2 linked regions of the Mus musculus genome follow. Each later gene encodes a partner of the first gene's protein in a complex. Links are inferred from orthologs where the notes say so. Each region holds a gene or a part of one and is shown in the gene's direction. Other genes may lie near its edges. The genes, in order: Nhp2 and Dkc1.

What was found.
Region 2: Nhp2 (region 1) and Dkc1 share a complex: the UniProt entries of both Homo sapiens proteins name them as parts of the H/ACA small nucleolar ribonucleoprotein (H/ACA snoRNP) complex. The link is inferred for Mus musculus from reciprocal best matches to the Homo sapiens genes NHP2 and DKC1.

What each region holds. Positions count from the first base shown.
Region 1 is NC_000077.6:51,618,257-51,622,762, forward strand, and holds the start of Nhp2 (H/ACA ribonucleoprotein complex subunit 2), read left to right. Parts: upstream 1-1,516; 5' UTR 1,517-1,561; coding exon 1,562-1,721; exon of another isoform or gene 1,722-1,825; coding exon 1,826-1,895; intron 1,896-4,228; coding exon 4,229-4,334; intron 4,335-4,506. UniProt on the Homo sapiens protein: Required for ribosome biogenesis and telomere maintenance. Part of the H/ACA small nucleolar ribonucleoprotein (H/ACA snoRNP) complex, which catalyzes pseudouridylation of rRNA.
Region 2 is NC_000086.7:75,105,810-75,108,337, forward strand, and holds part of Dkc1 (H/ACA ribonucleoprotein complex subunit DKC1), read left to right. Parts: intron 1-468; coding exon 469-572; coding exon of another isoform or gene 573-576; intron 577-1,362; coding exon 1,363-1,441; intron 1,442-2,369; coding exon 2,370-2,495; intron 2,496-2,528.

The sequences.
Region 1 (4,506 bases):
TTCAATCTTTACTAGGCTACCCAGTGCTCCTTCCTCCAACAGCCTTCCCTGGTTCTGTCTTTCTTGGCAATTCAGAGAATGTATCCCAATCTGACATATCCTGGTCCTCTTGCTGCTGTCCAAGTGATGGCTTTTAGTGGCTGGAAATCATACTCAACTATCTCACAGGTCTCATAGTTGTCAATCAGGGATAGGTAAGTTCTGTGTCCTTCACAAAACACAGATCTAAATGTGGGCCTGATTTTTGGCATCTGGCACTCAGGATCCTCCTTCATATTCACCCTTACCAGCTTCAGTCCCTCTACGTCACAGAGCTGAGGTCCCCGTTTCCTGTTGCTCCAGGGTTCTCATTAGCTAGCTGGACTCTTCATCCAGCACATGTCACCTTCCTTCCTACCTTTCTGGTTTTTCAGATTTGCTTTTAACATTTAAGAACTTTTGATTGATTTATTTCCTGTGTGTGAGTGTGTTGCCTGAAAGCACATCTGTGCAGCACATGCACTCCTGAGGCCCTTGCAGATTAGACATTTCAGATCCCCTGGAACTGGAGTGGGTTTTTTTGTTTGTTTGTTTGTGTTTTTTTGTTTGTTTGGGGGGGGTTGGTTTTTGTTTTTTGGTTTTTATTCAAGACAGGGTTTCTCTGTATAGCCCTGGCTGTCCTGGAACTCACTCTGTAGACCAGGCTGGCTTTGAACTCATAAATCCACCTGCCTTTGCCTCCCAAGTGCTGGGATTAAAGGCATGCGCCACCACTGCCCGGCCTCTTTTTTTTCTTTTTTCTTTGCGGTTTTTTTTTTTTTTTTTTTTGGAGACTGTTTCTGTGTAATCCTGGCTGTCCTGAAACTCGATCTGTAGAACAGGCTAGCCTTGAATTCAGAGTTCCTCCTGCCTCTGCCTCCCAAATGCTGAGAGTAAAGGTATGCACCACTACTGCCCAGCGGAAGTCACTATGTAGACCAGGCTGACCTTACTGCCCAGCGGAAGTCACTATGTAGACCAGGCTGACCTGATCCACCTGCCCCTGCCTCCCCACTGCTGGGATCAAAGGTGTGCGGTTTATAGTTTGTGCAACAGGATCTAGGAGGGGGAAAAGAAAATATGAAAAAACTTTCAGGTGCGCCAGGCTTTACCTAACCAGCAGCAGCAGGTCACAAGGCAGGTCACAAGGAGCTCAGGGGACACAATCCCGTTGTGTATTTTCCTTCCACCCGCTCTTCAATCTCTCCGGGCCCCGCCTCTTTCCCTTTGGGCTCCGCCTCTTTCCCTTTGGGCCCCACCTCTCGGCCCCAGGCCCCGCCCCTTTCCCTCTGGAAACCCGGTTCTAAATTCGGCCTCCCTGGGATTCCCGCGGTGAAAATCCAAATCCCGTGCTTAGATTGACCTTTAACTCCGCCCCCATATCCAAAATCCCGCCCCTAGAGATCTACTTAGAGATTGGTCGGTGTAGAATATTTAGTTTCCCAATTGGTCACAGGGTAGAGCCACTTGAAAACCCGGAAGTGATGTCGGAGGCGGCGGCCGCGTGGTTCCTCTATGCCGGGACGGAGTTGTAGTTGCTAAGATGACCAAAGTAAAGGCCGCTCCCGAAGAGTCCGAGGCGCAGGCGGAGGGCTGCAGCGAGGAGCGCACGTACAAAGAGCTGCTGGTCAATCTGAACCCCATCGCGCAGCCCCTGGCTTCCCGCCGCCTGACGCGCAAGCTCTACAAGTGCATCAAGAAGGGTGAGGCGGGCGCGTGGCGATCGCGGTCCGGGACCGGTGACTTGGGCGGCCCGGGGTCGAGCCTCGTGAGCGAGGTGTCGGCTCACGCTTCTCTCTCTTTGTAGCTGTGAAGCAGAAGCAGATTCGTCGCGGGGTGAAGGAGGTTCAGAAATTTGTCAACAAGGGCGAGAAAGGGTAAGAACCCGGCTTCCTCTGGTTTTTAAGTTTTGTGTGGTTTTTATTTTTATATTCCAGTGCCGGGGATTGAACCTAGGGCCTTGTGCACGGTACACAAGTACTACGGCACTAAGTTTGGCTTATTAACTGGTTAAGAAGAAATTCCACCTACTCAATAAAGGTGAAGTTGACCAACCAGTCTAGCAGTCAACTCCCTTCACTACCAGTAAATGGAACTCCCAGTAAATGACAGGGAAGAGAATAGGAATCCAGCCCGTGTAAACTAGAGTCCTGATCATTCACTCTGTAGAACGGCACAACTTTTTCAGGCTCTAGGCAACGTGCTATATGTAGAGAGACATTTTCCCAAGTAGGGCAGGGGAGAATGCGGGCTAGCTTCCGAAGTATAGCTAGTTCAAGGCCGTCGTGGTCTATGGACAGGTCTCAAAACAAACAAAACTCCCAAAAGGAGAAAATGATAAGCCAGTGATAGGCCTTTAATCCCATCAGAGGCAGATCTCTTAAGTTTTCAGCCATGACTATGTATAGAGACCCTGTCTCAAAACAACAAAGGAAGAGAATGAATGAATGAAGGTTTATTTGGGGTGAGGGGGTGGAATCCTGAGAAGAGTAGGCTCTTGGACAGGGCAGTGTAGTGGCACTTACACAATGTAAGTGGTTACTCCTTTTAAGTGTATGACTGTTTTGCCTGCGTGTATATGTTGGTGCATCACTGGTGCCCTTGGCAACCAGAAGGCAAGGTGTAAGGTCTCCTTGGACTGGAGTTAGAAATGGCCATGCACCCCCAGAAATGGCTATGCATCCCCGTATGCCGGCTCTCCAGCCCTCCTGGGCTTTCTTTTTTTTTTTTTTTTGAGACAGGATTTCTCTGTGTAGCCCTGTCTGTCCTGGAACTCATTTTGTAGACCAGGCTGGCCTCAAACTCAGAAATCCGCCTGCCTCTGCCTCCGGAGTGTTGGAATTAAAGGCGTGCCCCACCATGCCCGGTTTTGTTTGTTGTTGTTGTTGTTGTTGTTTTCTTTTTCCCCCTCGTGGGCTTTCTAAGGTAGGTTTAGTGTTCTCAGAACAGAGTGCAAGCTGAGGCGTGACATCGAGGGAAGAATTAGGAGAGGCAAGTCAGACTTAGTAAGCTGTTATGGCCCAAGGCAGGTGATGGGCAGGAGCTACAGCTGAGGGATTTGAGAGACGGTGACATATAATGACTTTGCATGCTAGTTTGGGCTGTAGTGTGTGACTGCAGACAGACAGTGGAGGAAAGCCAGGTTTGTGTGAAAACATCTGAAGTGTGGTTTTTAGATACCTTTTATTACGTGTGGGTGCCTACTTGCATGTGTATGGACACATGTGCATCTGGTACCCATGTGAACACCAGCGGACAACTTGGAGAGCTGATTCTCTTCTGCCATTCAGGCCCCTGGGATTGAACTCAGGTGGCCAGGCTTGGCAGTGAGTGTCTTTACCCTCTGAGGCGTCCTGAGTTGACATGGAAAATGCCTTGGACATGCTCTGCTTAGCTATTCTACAGGCAGATGTTTTGGTAGGGCAGATGGGGGCTGGTAGCTTCAGGTGGCCCCTGGCACCATGATAGGTCAGGAAGGCAAGGAGAAAGGGACCACAAAGAAGGACAGCAAAGGAACAAGTGGAAAGGACCAGCCTTGTGCCAAAGGGAACGGAGTATGCAAACAGATGTCTACCACCCTTACACCGGGCAGATCTTCAGGACTTCTGGGTCTGGTACACTGACAGCTCTCAGCCATGGTTGAGGGCCCTGGCAAGCTTTCTCTTGGGACAGAGTCTGTGTGTTACTCAAACACTTAGGTGTGATCCCTGCCAGTCCTCTCAGCTTTGTTCTCTGACACCCCCCCCCCACCACACACACACACACTAGTTATCTATTGCAGAAGGCAACCAGCCCTTCAGTACCACCCTTGGCCTTATTCTGTCCCCACACCTGCCATTCTGGAATCATCATGGCACTCAAGTCTCTGTTCAAGGGTCATCTCCTGGTTGGAACATAACTGACTCTAAGGAGAGCCGAGTTCCTATTTCGTGGTATTTCTCCTGTACCTCATCTGTCCCAGCACTTCACCTCTAGTCACATTCGGTGGCATTTACATGCTGTCAAGTAGAGACCATGTCCCCAGAGGAATGCATTTGCCAAACATGACTTTGTACTCCTTTCAGAAGTTGAAGGCTAGTGTGGGGGTCCTTGGTTGGGGTGGGGCATTTTCTTGGACTCTGCCCTCACAGCCAGGCTGGAGATAGCTCTTAGAACTGAAAGGGAAAGAGACGGAGCAAAGGAGAACTGATGGTGCCTTCTCTTGTTGCAGGATCATGGTTTTGGCAGGAGATACATTGCCGATTGAGGTGTACTGCCATCTTCCAGTTCTGTGCGAGGACCAGAACTTGCCCTACGTCTACATCCCCTCTAAGACGGTGAGAAGCGCATGCCCACCCTGCCCCATTCCCATCTTGGCCCTAGGGAGGCTGTTTGAGGAATTATCTCAGGTGTTGGAATTCTTAGGTCTGGGTGGCTTGTTTTTCTTTTTGAGATGGCATCTCAGCTAGGACTAAAGTACATAGCACATGGCTGGCAGGCTTCCTTCCT
Region 2 (2,528 bases), on another chromosome or scaffold:
TTTGCATTAATAAGTACCAACAAATGCAGGTCTTTGTTGGCCATATTTGAAGCTCTAGATTATTGTCAGTGAGCAGAGGCATGCCCTGTCTTAGACTTCAGAGATTCTCCCTCTAGTTAAGAGAAACCTTTGGGCATTACTTAATCTCACTGGGGTTGTGAACTATGACTGTCAAAAATGTGGAGTGGTCTCTTGGTTCCTAGAGTATCCACAGTGAAAGTTTTAACTTCATCATGGATCTGGGCAAGATTTTTCCACTTCAGCTATTGTGAAGAATAGGTTAGAGATTGATGACAATAAGAGAAGAGGGAACAAACGATTCAGGACATTTTGTAAGGGGTGTGAAGCTGAGAATATGTAAGAAACCTTGCTTGTGATAGTCTGTGCAGACTGGGTCTAAGCTGTAGTCTATAATCATAATGGCTACTTCCTGTATTGACAGTAGTCTAATGTTTGGAATGCTTCCAGGCAAGTCAGAAGAAGATGATGATCAAGCAGGGCCTTCTGGACAAGCATGGCAAACCCACAGACAATACCCCTGCCACATGGAAACAGGATTACATTGACTATAGGTAAGGATGGAGTTTGTTGGTTTATTCCATTGTCTTTATTTTATTTCTTTAACTTTATTCTTTGTGAATTTCACATCATACACACCAAGCGCACTCATCTCCCCATGCCTTCATATCCATCCTCTGCCCAAGGCAACTGCCACCCCCATAAGGAAAAAAGTTTTGGAAGCTGTAGTGTGTTACAGTGTGTTACATCTTTACTTGCAATGAATCATTGGACTGGTTTGAGGCCTCTGGCTTCTGCTACACTATCAATGTTGGCTCCTCACTGGGACTCCTCTCTGTTGGTGCCCCATGTCATGGAGATCCTGCAGCTTTAGATATGCAGGACCAGCCCTTTTATGTGCTGCAGCAGTTCATAGATGGGGTAGATGTTGAAATAGACCAACTCAAAGTTCTGGATGTGGGCCTGGGTGGTAAGGATGGGCTTTGGGGGACTGGGGTAATGTAGTACACTTGAGTACAGGAAACTGCACAGCCAAGGGGAGATGGACGGTTTTATTTGGGATAAGTGCTAAATGCTTTGCCACAGGCCCTAATGCAGCTCACTCTTTCCCTTGCTTGGCTCTTTGAAACCTGGGTCAGTAAGTACTAGTAGTCAGGGCATGGACTGTGGAGATAATCAGTCTGTAAAACCAACTGTTGGTTCTTTTGTCTAGCATCAGTGTTTTAATTGGGGGTTTTAGGGTTGCCCAGTATCATTGAATAACAAGGGGCATGATAAGATATAATAGGACCACCATGGAAAACTCTTCTATGAATCTAACCTCATATTACCTTTGTCTTTCAGTGATTCTGGCAAGAACACACTGGTTACCGAAGCAGTACAAGCCCCTCAGTTAGCTGCTGAAGCAGTAAATGTCATAAAAGTGAGTGGCATGATCTGTTTGAAAGGTGCTTGCTTCAAACTGGGTGGGGTGGTGGCGAATGCCTTTAATCCCAGTACTTCCAAGACAGAAGTAAAGCAGCCTGGTCTACAGGAGTGAGTTCCAGGACAGATGGAGAAACACTGTCTCAAAAACAAACAACAAAGGAAAGAAAGAAGTGTGCTTAAAGAGATACACCAGTGTTTAAGGTAGTCTAGCCACAAGTCCTAGCAAGTAAGGCAGGCTTATCCATGCAGTGCTCTACACACACTATCTCCTACTTGAGGATGTTTGTTTGGTTCAGTAGCATTTGTGTTGTGTCTGTGGTAGGGGGAGTATGGACTTAAGAATCAATTACCTTGGTTCCTACCTCCACTGTGACACAGTGTGGAGTGGAATAACCTTGTGTGGAATGTGTCACACATATTTTGACTCTACCCTGGGTTAAATAGGTAGCATAAGTGTATTGAAAGCAGAGGCCTCAATGAAATTCAGGAGGAACAGAATTGTCAGAAACCAAAAAAATATTTCTAGTCCATGCTAACTCACTGTTTAAAGGACAAGAGTGAAGCATGTGGTAGTAACCAAGGCTGGGGGCCACTGTCATTAGAGCCCCAAATGGTATGTTTGCTGTCTTGAGTGACTAGTAATGAGCTATATGGGTGGAACTTGCAAGTTGTCAAAGAGCACCTTAAGTCTTGGAGTTGGCTCACTGAGACAATTTCTCAGGGTCTTTTATACGCAACGCTGCTTTGGCACATTCATCATGCCCCATGGCTTACTATATTTTTTATTTAGTGAGATACTGTCTTCAAATCTTTAGAAAATCAGACACTATTCAAGTTTATAGACACAAAACCATTGAATATACGTGGAATCTTTCTTGGTAACTTCCTACATTTCTAACTTCATGTGAATTTTTTTTACACAGAGGAAGCGGGATAGTGAGAGTGAAAGTGATGAGACCCCAACAGTTCCCCAGTTGAAGGAAAAGAAGAAGAAGAAGGATAAGAAGCCCAAAACTGTGCTAGAAAGTGGGGGCGAAACTGGAGATGGGGTATGTGTGAACCATGGGTGTGCCTTTGTGTCA